3 linked regions of the Oryza sativa Japonica Group genome follow. The protein of the gene in region 1 interacts with the protein of each later gene in a pairwise test. Links are inferred from orthologs where the notes say so. Each region holds a gene or a part of one and is shown in the gene's direction. Other genes may lie near its edges.

Region 1 (4,021 bases):
GCGGTGGGGCCCACCACCCCCTCGCTCCGCACACGAACCACGTGCGGAATCCGCGCATTTAGTACTCGCATCGTCCCCCCCAGCCCGCGAAATGATACCGAATTGAATAAAATAATATTTAAAAGAAGAAATCTGTTACTCCGTTCCAAAATACAGTTACTTGTAATAACAAAATATTCTTCTATAGTAAACCTATTTATCCATCAATATCCTTCTAACCCATCACAAAGTTCACAACCCTCGTCCATTTATTTCATTCATCTTATTTTTTATCTCAACAAATCATAATATTTCTCCAATAAATTTTACTTACTTTCTTAATACCTACTACTATGTCTAAAAAAAGATAAACTTTAGCTACGAATCTAGACACGCATATATTCGTAGCTTACATACGTGTCTAAATTCGTAGCTAGAATTGAATTTTTTTTAAGACGCTAGGGTACCATCTATCTATTTTATAATTATTTACTCCATCTGTCTCAGAATATAACAACCAATGATTGATGGTGTTCATCATCTATCTATTTTATAATTATTTACTCCATCTGTCTCAGAATATAACAACCAATGATTGATGGTGTTCATCATTGGTTGCTATATTATGAGACAGGGGGAGTATATTTCTAGAACAGATGTAACTCCCTTCGTTCTAAAACGTAGTACTCTTATTATGATATAATAACAAAGTTGGATAGAGATGAATCCAGTGGTAATAATTGAGATAAGGTAAAAGGTAATTTATAAGTAGTATTTTGGAACGAAGAGAGCAACTATTTTCTCCATTCCAAATTAAATTATGGGATAAACATATCGTAATAATACTATAAATTTAGACATATTTGTATTACTACAATATGTCACATTGTGTTAGATTAACTTATTCCAGTACGGAGTACTCCCTCCGTCCCAAAAAAAAAAGACACCCTGGCTTCCATGCCCAACGTTTGACCGTCCGTCTTATTTAAAAAAATTATGAAAAAAATTAAAAAGACAAGTCACACATAAAATATTAATAATATTTTTTTATTTAAAAGAATTATAAAAAAATTTCATACAAGACGGACAGTTAAAGTTGGACACGAAAATATATAGGGTTTGTTTTTTTTGGAGGGAGGAAGTAGGTAATTAGGAGAAGAAAAAAATGGGAAGAAAGAAAATCCGCGAGGTTAAATTGAATCGAATTGAGTGGTGACCAGAAACCGCAGCGGCTGCGTCGTCTCCGTCTCCTCTCCTTGCTTATAAACGCTCGCGCACGAGCCTCTCTCTCTCTAGCTCTCGCTCTCGCAGCTCAACCACTAGCAGCAGCGGCAGGAAGGCGAGAGGAGGAATCGGAGGTAGCTGGACGGCGGCGAGGCGACGACGAGCCGGGGTGGTGCAGCAAGAACGGCGCGGCGAGCGGCGGGGAGGAGAGATTGGATCGACGCCGGGTAGTTAGGAAGGGAGCTTGGAGAGATGGCGGCTTCCGCGAGGCCCGTCGGCGTCGGCGGGGAGAGGGCGACGAGCTTCGCCATGGCGTGCAGCCTGCTCAGCCGCTACGTCCGCCAGAACGGCGCCGCCGCCGCCGAGCTCGGCCTCGGCATCAGAGGTGAGGAGGAGAAGGGAAAAAAAAAAGAACTCATCCCTTTTTTTGTGGGTGTGCTTCGGCTTGGTTGGATCTTCATCTTCAGCTTCGGTTTCGTGTTGAGATCTGATCACAAGGTTTGGGGTTTTGGTTCGGTTCCAGGTGAGGGTGAGGCTCCGAGGGCGGCGCCGGCGACGATGAGCTTGCTGCCCGGGGAGGCGGAGAGGAAGAAGGAGACCATGGAGCTCTTCCCGCAGAGCGCCGGCTTTGGCCAGCAGGATGCCATCACCGCCGATTCTGCTGCTGATGCTAGGTATGGGGCCATGCCACTTGGTTCTCTGCTTCATTTTTGTGCAGTTCCTGCTCCTTAGGTGTATGTGTGTGTGTGTCCTAGTTCTTGGAATCACGCAGAGAAATGACAAATTTTGCAGTCTACAAAACTTAGCTGTAAGTGCCTCAATAGGTTGAAGCCACTGTTTTTGGTATCAAATCTAGTTGAGGGGAGAGAGGGTTATGAGTAAACATTTTGTTGTTTTTTGCTTTGGGTTCAGATACTAATTGGAATTAGGCAAGCAGAGTTACTAGGTCATTCAGACTTCAGGGAGTTGTTAATGGATCTATAAAAACTTTACCTATCTTTGTTAATAGAAAATTTTAACCCCAAACTTAGGGTTTTTTTTTTGTTTAAACTGGGGCACTGAAAACGTAGTTTCAAAAAGAACCCTTTTTATGCTTGCCGGTGAAAATAGAGTTAGTCAGATGGTGCAGAATTGGAGGGGTGATATACTGGTATCCCAGGTGTTCATAGTGTTCTCTGTGCAAATGAATTTCAGGGAACAAGAGCCTGAGAAGCGTCAGCTGACCATCTTCTATGGTGGGAAGGTGCTCGTGTTCAACGACTTCCCAGCCGACAAGGCAAAGGGCTTGATGCAGCTGGCTAGCAAGGGCAGCCCGGTGGCTCCTCAGAATGCCGCGGCACCTGCACCAGCAGCTGTTACAGACAACACCAAGGCCCCTATGGCCGTGCCGGCCCCGGTCAGTAGCTTGCCTACAGCTCAGGCCGATGCTCAGAAGCCTGCTCGCGCGAATGCTTCTGGTAATTACTCTGCCCTTTCTTGATGTTCATGTCTGTCGGGGTATTGAACGCATAACCAGTTGAATTTTGTTGTAGCAGTTATCAAGTGACCTCTTTTTTTCTGTGTAGATATGCCTATTGCTAGGAAGGCATCACTCCACAGGTTCCTTGAGAAGAGAAAGGATCGGTAAGTTGTTTTGCTGTGATGATTTGCATGATGTTTAAGTTCAGTATTTTGATCACTGCAGTTCATGGATCTAATATGCGCCTTTTGTTGTCACAGTCTTAATGCAAAGACGCCATACCAGGCTTCTCCTTCAGATGCAACCCCAGTCAAGAAGGAGCCTGAGAGCCAGCCATGGCTCGGACTAGGGCCGAACGCCGTCGTGAAGCCCATAGAACGCGGCCAATGAGGTTGCATGGAAACTTCACCAAAGCTCTTCAAAAATATATGAAATGCGCTTGCCGTTAGAGTACCAAATCATATATGTTCTCTCATACCCCATGTTTTAGTGTTTTTTCTTTAGTTCGTGCTTCTATGTTGTTCACTTGTCACATAGTTCTGAATGTAAAGGAAAAAGGTAGTAGCATTGACGACCAGTGCCGAGAGCCTGAGAGAAGTTTTGGCATGTTAACACATGGTGACTCTGAAAATGGCCATGCTAAGGTAAAAAGTTATTGCAAAGGAAACATATATGTATCTTCTGAAATTCTGATCATCTGGCTTTGTCCTTGGCTCTAGCCTTGCTCTATGCAAAGCAAAGTGATTGTAATGGATTCAGAATATAATTCATATTCCTATTGTTGATTTCTGTTACATGGCTTATTGGCTTGGTCCTCCTCCAATATGTCTGCATTATTTGGTCCCCATTATATGTGCCTGCAGAGTCAATTTGCTCTTGGACTTTCTTTTTTCCTTTTCTTGACGCGTTTTCATTTTTTCTTAAATGCAAACCTCATTATTTAGCATAAAATAATAACTACATACACAAACTACAAACTAATGGAATATTTGATGTTCCACAAACACAATTATTAGTGATTGCCTATGAATCTTTTCTGTTTTGTAGCTATATATTTTATCATCATGCAAAGGGGATACAGGGCAGCACAGGAGGCAGCCTGGGGTAGGTTGGATGGCACTGTCAAGCTGAAGATAAGGGTTTTGCGAAGGAAGGTGCACAAGGCAAGACTTGTCACCCCATGCCCAATTCTTTAATCAAAAGATATGAGCACATGTGAGAAATTGGGGGTGGAGATGAGTTGATAGGATTCTTGTTTGACAGCTAAAGCAAAGCAAAGCATGAAGAGCAAAACAACAGGAAGCTGTTTGGAAATTGCAAAGGGGGGGGGGGGGGGGGGGGGAAGAAGGATGCAGTGAC
Region 2 (4,119 bases), about 2.5 Mb from region 1:
CATATATAACACCAAATTAGTCTCATTTTAATATAAATTAAATATGTTTGATTTTTGTGAGAAATATTGTTATATGTTTTTATAAATCTAGTCAAAATTAAAAAGAGTTTAACTATAAAATGTTTAAAATGACTTATATAATATGAAATAGATGGAGTACTAGTTTAATCCCTAACAACTGGCATCTTTTCCCCACCTACTAGTTTAGTTTTACTATTTTATTCTCGTAACCATCACTTATTGATTTTGTACTATGCATTGTCCTTTTGCCACTTCCTATATTATGGGAGGAAGGGAGTATCCCTTGGCCACAAAACCAGACATGAAGATTCCCCAACTGGTTCATTTGTCTCTCTGAGCAATTTAAATGGTCGTTTCATCCTGCAGGGCACGTTGACACAGTTTTCTCAATGTACCACCTCGGGTGGCATCACAATCAGAAAAAGAATAAAAAACAATAGGATCTAGTCATCGTCTTCCTCTACCTCTCCATTCATTCCATATCTCTTCCACTCTCCGCAGCCTTCCTCCTTCCTCCCTCTCCCATCTCTCTAGGGGAAGTGATGGTGAGTGCGGACCGTGTGTGCCGCTTAGTGTGCCTATTTGCCTTTATTTGCTGTTCATCCTCCGTGTGACTGTTATTACAGACGAGTATGGAGGTAGTATCGAGGAGGCCTGAGTGGACAGGATAATCCCAGCGATGTGGCAGAGCTCAAGCTATCCTACATGGTGGCAACAGTGTGTGGAAAAGATAGTGGCAGTGGAGACAATTGTCTCCAAGCCTCACCCCGGCGATGAATTCCCTTAAAGGGAAAATGAGACAGAGGATAGGGAATTCCTTATGTCCCCAATGACTTAGTTGCTCAGATCTAGGTGGCATCGAGACAGCGGTTTTTCACGGAGACGGTGATAACGTCCCGCAACTTCTCTTGCTTGAGAGGTGGGGACCGCTTGCCACTGCTAGGGAGAAGCCGTTGTCTCCGATCTACTCCAAAGAGGAGCTTGAGTTCCGCAGCACAAATCAACGTCGGTATTGTTGTTGTCGGAGAGAAGACACGAGGGAGAATGGCACGTTGGTCATGTTTTAGAGATTAAAGAGGGATTGTTTTCAGTGTCACTAGCATGTGGTTCAATTGGAGTTTTTTACTTTTACTCTTTTTTTTATTTTTCTGATTGTAATGTCGCGTAATTGCCATCATGAATGAAGACCAAATCAACGTGACACATAGTTGACGTGTTAGCTGAAACCGCCTTATAAACCAATAAGGAAGATAAATTGATCCGGGTTTCATAGTTGAGGGAGCACCTATATTTGATTTTACTATTGTAATTGGACTTGAACTATAGCTGAGAGAGGTGAAGTGGACTTTTTCCTGCTGAGATTAGCCAAGTTCACGTGCATTCGGCCCCGAGTCTGGCTCTGCTCATTTTTGGGGCTTTGGAATTGGAAAGGAAAGGAAAAAAATACACCGAAGGTCCCTCAACTTGTTATCGAGTTACGAAATCGTCCTCCAACTGTAAAACCGAATATCCGGCGTCCCTTAACTAATCAAAACCGGTCACAATAGATCCTTCGGTGGTTTTGTCCCTGGTTTTGTCCTACGTGGCGGCTGAGTCAGCGTGTGACCCACGTGGGCCCCACATGTCAGGAGCCCAGGTCATCTCACTTCCTTTCTCTTCCTCTCTCTCTCCCCTCACTCTTTTCTTCTCTTCTCTGGGATGGAGTTCATGGCACGGCGGACAACGGAGGTTGACTGTAGGCTGGTCCCACGCCGCGGCTCCGCCACACTCGCTCGACAGTCCACGCCGGCACGGTGTGTGCCTAAAGCCACCGCACCACCCGAGGCAGCTCAGGCGCGCCACCTCCTCCAGATCCACGCCCAGTTCGTTGCGTCCGGCCTCCTCGCCGACGCCTTCGCCACTAGCCGCCTCATCCTCTTCACCACCTCCACCCGCCTCCTCCCGCTCCCGTTCCACCACTCGCTCCGCCTCGCCCCGTCGTTCTGCGCAGCCCGAGCCAACGAGAGCGGCGAGCAACCGCTCGGGCAAAGCCCGCTCGAGGCCGAGCAGCAGCCGCCGCCGCAGCCGCGGGGAGGGGACGGAGGGAGCAAGGACGCCACCGCCGTCGCGCCACGTCCGGGCCTGGCAGGGAGGGAACGGGGAGAGCGAGGACGCCGTCGTCGTCACGCCGCGTCGGGGTCTGGTGGGGAGGGGACGGGGAGAACGAGGCTGCTGCCGTCGCGCCGCGTCGGGGCCTGGCGGGGAGGGAACGGGGAGAGCGAGGACGCCGCCGCCATCGCGCACGCAGCTCCATCGTTTCTCGTTCCCCAACCTCAGCTGGGGCAACCACCGCCTCCTCCGCTGCTCCAAGAACCCCGCCTCATCGCCTCCACCCGCGGTGCCGGACACCCCGTCGCCGGACAAGGAGAAGACCGCCCACAGCTCCACTGACGGCGTCGGCGTCGGCAGTTTGCCTCAGCGGGGTCCGCAACGGCCGTGGAACCTCCGCACCTGCCGCTCTGCCACCGCCGCACCGTGTCCAGAGGGATTGGACGATGCGGCTGATGCCGCGCTGGAGTGAGCGCCGCCGCCGCTGGCGACGACCAAGAAGCGGGTGTCCTCCAACGTGCTGTCCGAGGAGATCGCCCATGTCTTCAAGACGATAATAGGGGAAAGACAGAGGAATTGAGGGTGCCATGACGTGGCTACTCTGACATGTGGGGTCCACGTGGGTCCCATATTGATTCAGTTGCCACGTAGGACAAAACCGGGATCAAAACCGCTTGAGGATGTAAAGTGACCGGTTTCGAAAATTGAGGGATGTCATATATCTAATTTTATGGTTGGGGGACGATTTTGTAACTCGATGACAAGTTGAGGGACCTTCGGAGCACTTTTTCCAATTGGAAACCTAACCAAAAATATCACAAAGGGCCCATTTGGATTCACTGTTACGGTTTTACCATTGCCTGAACTGTACTCTCGTTGTTCAGTTTGGTAGTTGAGTTGACAGCGGGGATCCGCCGACGCCGCACACCGTCTTTTCCTGTGGCGACATGCATCGCACAGTGACGAGCCAGTCAGTACCCAGTACAGAAACCGCGCGGCTCACGGGGGAAAACCCACCAATCGCGACATCATCAACGACGCTGGTAAAAAACCCAGTACAAGTACACAACCTTCTCACATCGCAGGAGATCAACCAGACAACCAACCAGCCGGGCCAGCGCTCTACAGACTAGTACAGACTACAGAGATCGGCAAGGCTGCATGCTGGAACCAGAGACGCTGACGCCCCACTCCACCACCGATCGATCGCTGGTATCCGAGGGGGAGGTTTTGTCCGTCCCCTCGTCCCCCGCACTGTTCGCGCTCGCTCGCCCGCTGCTCTGCTCGTCTCTTCCACCATCAAATGATCACATGCTGTCCATCAACTCACCCCCGTCGTCTCGTGTGCGTGCAGCTTTCCCCCACGGCCTCCTGCTGCTGCCGACCCGACCCGACCTAGCGTCCCTCGCCATCGCGCGATCGTGAGAAAAATCGGGTGTTATTGTGTAGTAGAAAAAAAAACCGGTCCCGTCCTTTGATTCCCTCTGCCTGGGCGCCGCCCGCTACGGGACGCGAGAGCAGCTACCAGCAACCCGACAAACCGCACAGGCGGCCTCCCCCTCCCGCGCGCGCCAGCGTCCAACGCTAACGGCGACCCGCGCCTCTCTCACAGTGTCTCTCCCGCTAGCGTTATCATCATCAGCTGCGGGCTTGCTATGCTATGCTTGCTTGTTGCAGTGGTTTTGCCACGGAGAAGGGTCACCGGGAAATTATTGTTTAGGCTGACGTGATGCTCCAGGGAGTCCTGTCGCGAGCTCCCGGCGCCGACGCGGCAGCGATGAAGGCGAAGCGCGCGGCCGACGACGAGGAGGAAGGCGGCGAGCGGGAGCGCGCGCGTGGGAAGCGGCTGGCTGCTGAGGGGAAGCAAGGGTTAGTGGTGGTGAGTACGGGGGAGGAGGAGGAGGCGGCGGCGGAGACGCGTGGGCTGCGGCTGCTTAGTTTGTTGCTGAGGTGTGCGGAGGCGGTGGCGATGGACCAGCTGCCGGAGGCGCGGGACCTGCTGCCGGAGAT
Region 3 (4,372 bases), on another chromosome or scaffold:
ATTTGTGAACTATGTATCATTTACGAGAGAAACAAATTGTTGTTTCATTAAAGTAGAATACCTTCAATATTTTCCAAGCACTTTTATAAAATTATATGCTCCTCTTACATTTATAATTTCTGGTTGAACCTTACATTCTACAAGTACACCATAGTTCAAGCAATGGTTGTTATGCATTAATTCTCTACTAGTACTAATAACTTATTGTTGTAAAAAAAGCATAATATGTGATGCAAGTAGGACGACATGCATATTTGTATACTCCCTCCGTTACATAAAAAACGAATCTAAAACCATATGTGACATATTCTAATACTATAAATCTGGATATATGTATGTCCAGATTTGTAGTCCTACGATGTGTTACATCCGGTACTAGGTTGGTTTCTTTGGATGAAGGGAGTATGTGAGTATTTTTCATAACAAATTTATAAATATCATTTTTTACATACTAAATATTAATGTTTTATTCTTTTCATGTATTAATGATGCATGCCATTTGTTTGCGGAAGGAAATGGTATTATACTTGATGGTTTGCAACTTCATATGTTTCCTTCACCAGACAACTCTTTGCATACATATATAGTATACCATAAGGAACATTTATGTTTATTTTACCAACATGTCAAGTAAAGTAGGTGATAATATCTTCGAGCTGTTTTCTAACATCTCTTTTCTTACCTATTTATTCACTGTCTATTTCTACTGATTATGTTTTAGTTTCTATAATGGGAACTAATGGCCAAATTCTCTCATCACTTCCTACATTTTTTTCTTCGTGTGCCTTATTTCACTAAACAACTGCAAAATTTCTTTCCTAGTTAGCCTCCAACAAACTGCAATGGCAAACACTACCACGAGAAAAAACACATTGCTCGAGGACATATTGGTCATCCTCGACCAACGGTAACATCACATATTATATTACTAAAAGTCAAAAGATTATATTGCAAACATCTCTACAAGTAACGCTTGCATTAAATTGTATGGGTTTAAAGCAATGCTTCCTTTGCAAGAGAAACATATGGCTATTTCGGCATAAAAAAGAATTTCATCATCTATTTTCCAAACAAGTAAGAAAATAAAATTTTGGTCCTCCTAACTATTGCGATTAGTTTTAGTCCAACCCAGGATTATTTCACTACCACTATTCACCATTGTAAAAATCCTATCATATACTCATCCGTTCCGAAATATAAAGTGTTTCCTGTAAAAAAATATAAGTATTTCTAGATAGATTCTCTACCCGACATCTATTAGCTTTGAAATCATTAAAATGATGAAAACTATGAAACCCAAAAATCCTTATATTTTGAATAAAAAGGTAAAAATTACAATAATATGCCATTTTTTCAAAAAAAAAGTTAATGCAAAATGTCGAAAAATAACCAATGCAGAAAACCTATAAATTCTATGACGTGTAGGGTGAAAAGGAAAAAAAGAAGGGAAAAACTGAATCCCTCTGTCCCTCCCGTCTCCTTGCCTTGGCTATAAACCCCCGGAAACCACAAGGCAGAGAGAAGGTCCTTCCCTTCCCACAAGGGGAAAAAAGGGGAAAAAAAAAAGAAAAGAGAAGAAGAAATCCTCCGAAATGGCGGCGTCCGGCGAGGGGGCGTCGCTGGCGTCGGCGGCGGGAGGGGAGGACGGGCGGCGGCGGCGGGTGAGCTACTTCTACGAGCCGTCGATCGGGGACTACTACTACGGGCAGGGGCACCCGATGAAGCCCCATCGCATCCGCATGGCGCACTCGCTGGTGGTCCACTACGGCCTCCACCGCCTCCTCGAGCTCTCCCGCCCCTACCCGGCCTCCGACGCCGACATCCGCCGCTTCCACTCCGACGACTACGTCGCCTTCCTCGCCTCCGCCACCGGGAACCCCGCCCTGCTCGACGCCCGCGCCGTCAAGCGCTTCAACGTCGGCGAGGACTGCCCGGTCTTCGACGGCCTCTTCCCCTTCTGCCAGGCCTCCGCGGGGGGCAGCATCGGCGCCGCCGTCAAGCTCAACCGCGGCGACGCCGACATCACCGTCAACTGGGCGGGGGGCCTCCACCACGCCAAGAAGGGCGAGGCCTCCGGCTTCTGCTACGTCAACGACATCGTCCTCGCCATCCTCGAGCTCCTCAAGTTCCACAGGGTATGCCTTTGTTTTGTTGGGATGCTTGCCTTGGTTGTGTTGTGTACCTGTCCTGTGATCGGAGGAGGAGGAGGGGCATTACGATTTGGAGGTCGTTGTCTAAATTTAGATGCGAATTGGAATGGTTCCCGCTGATGGACGCGAATATTTGAGTGCATTGGGTTTGTGTTTCGGTTTAGTTTTTATTTTTTAGTGCGTGGTGAAGAAGATGCTAAGACTTGGGGAGGGATTTGGTGGTTTGACTTCCAACACTGCGAGGAGAAATTACTATTGTTCGGATGCCTGATTAGGTGATTGTAGAAATTTAAAGGGCTCTATCTCTTTCTGTGAGTGCATGCACGCGTTCATGCTCGTGTGTTTGTTTAATCTTGCAATAGGATTCCATATTTGCTTTCAGTGTTAATTGTTTGTTTTCATTGGATTTAGATATATGAATGATTTCTATGTTTTTACCTGGCCCGACATATTTGAGGAAGTTTGAAACAAATGGTGCATTTTGGGGATTTTGCTGAGTTTTTATGAGCGGAGGTTGCTTATGTTACTAGTGACATTATGGGCATGGTTATTGTCTTAATGTTGTCCAACATTTTATTTGTGAATGCTTAGATAGTTAGATTGATCAACATTAAATACAGCTGGTTGAGTTGTCTATAAAAATTTAAAAATGCTTTCAGAATATTATAACTTGGTTGGGATGTACAAAATATGTTCGAACACAAATCAGCTCAAGGCTGCATGTTAGAAGCCTTAACAACACCCAAAAAAACTGTGTGACCGAATAAAGTAGTTATCATCTTTTCTTTTATAAATCAGCTTTGCAGCCACATTCCTAGTGATTTTGCAGCTAAATTTTAACTAGTTTGTATATTTATTGAGTGTGTGATATTACTGTTCATATGGTTACTTTTTCTGTCAGTAAGTTGTTTATCTGATTTGATTATTAGGTATTGGCATTAGTTTTAACTGAAAAGAAGGTGACATAGATGTGATGTGAAATGGTTAATATGGCCAATCTTACTGGGATGTATCTTTAATGGTCCATTCATCCATTGTTAGCAAGAATATTTTTTTTCTGTGATGTGAACTAACATGTATATCCTAAATGGAATTTTTATATGCATGGATTGTTTTGGAATATGTGGTATTGCTGGTGATATAGTTGTGTTGGTTACTTTACTGCTAGACAACATTTTCTTTTTGATATGCATGCAGCATTAATCTTTGTGATTTGGACTTTTTGGAACCATCTGTTGATTGTTTTCTGACCATTTATCAGTAACTCAGTCCAGTATTACTTTCACAGATACTTCATCCAGTTTGTTGCTCATATGACTGGCTTTAATGTAATTATTCGCATCTATTTACAATAAATGTTGCTGCTGAAATATCATGATCTATATGTGTACCTTTCACTTGTAATTCATTTAGTACTACTCCCTCCATTTAAGGTTATATGATGTTTTGACTTTGGTCAAAGTCAAACTGTTTTAAGTTTGACTAAGTTTATAGAAAAATATAGTAATATTTATAATACTAAATTAGTTTCATCAAATCAATAATTGAATATATTTTCATAACAAGTTTGTCTTGGGTTGAAAATGTTACTACTTTTTTCTACAAACTTGGTCAAACTTAAAGCAGTTTGACTTTGACAAAGTCAAAACGTCTTATAACCTGAAACGGAGGGAGTAATTATTTACCATTCCTGGAGAACTGTTTTAGATACCGTACTTTCCAATATAATAAGTCCTGAACATATCTTTTAAATTTTTTAATCACCAGGCTTAATAAAATTTGGAAGGCATGTGTTGCAAACTTATTCAGCATCGTGATCCATGTTTCATCAAGCTTTAGTGTGTTGATTGTGGAATACATCAAGAATTTCATCTTGGCTTTCTAAACCACAACTGCACTTCTCTGATGCTATTGAATATTGCTGCTGCTACAACAGTCCTATGGCTACCTAATTTTTCTGATAGTTATCATTCTTCTTTTGTTGTAGCGTGTGCTATATGTAGACATTGATGTCCACCATGGAGATGGCGTGGAGGAAGCTTTCTTCACTACGAATCGAGTCATGACTTGTTCCTTTCACAAGTATGGGGACTTTTTCCCTGGTACTGGGCATATCACTGATGTTGGAGCAGGCGAAGGAAAACATTATGCTTTAAATGTGCCCCTGAGTGATGGCATTGATGATGATACCTTTCGTGATCTGTTCCAGTGCATCATCAAAA

Evidence for each region.
Region 2: the proteins of protein TIFY 10b (region 1) and scarecrow-like protein 23 interact in binary tests that used the Arabidopsis thaliana proteins (3 or more experiments, as listed by UniProt). The link is inferred for Oryza sativa Japonica Group from reciprocal best matches to the Arabidopsis thaliana genes JAZ1 and AT5G41920.
Region 3: the proteins of protein TIFY 10b (region 1) and histone deacetylase 6 interact in binary tests that used the Arabidopsis thaliana proteins (3 or more experiments, as listed by UniProt). The link is inferred for Oryza sativa Japonica Group from reciprocal best matches to the Arabidopsis thaliana genes JAZ1 and HDA6.

The regions. Positions count from the first base shown.
Region 1 is NC_089041.1:25,571,887-25,575,907, forward strand, and holds protein TIFY 10b, read left to right. Parts: upstream 1-1,197; 5' UTR 1,198-1,455; coding exon 1,456-1,588; intron 1,589-1,726; coding exon 1,727-1,877; intron 1,878-2,397; coding exon 2,398-2,660; intron 2,661-2,768; coding exon 2,769-2,826; intron 2,827-2,922; coding exon 2,923-3,052; 3' UTR 3,053-3,458; downstream 3,459-4,021.
Region 2 is NC_089041.1:23,033,370-23,037,488, forward strand, and holds the start of scarecrow-like protein 23, read left to right. Parts: upstream 1-1,243; 5' UTR 1,244-3,838; coding exon 3,839-4,119. UniProt on the Arabidopsis thaliana protein: Probable transcription factor involved in plant development.
Region 3 is NC_089042.1:15,629,421-15,633,792, forward strand, and holds the start of histone deacetylase 6, read left to right. Parts: upstream 1-1,520; 5' UTR 1,521-1,592; coding exon 1,593-2,135; intron 2,136-4,137; coding exon 4,138-4,372. UniProt on the Arabidopsis thaliana protein: Responsible for the deacetylation of lysine residues on the N-terminal part of the core histones (H2A, H2B, H3 and H4). Might remove acetyl residues only from specific targets, such as rDNA repeats or complex transgenes.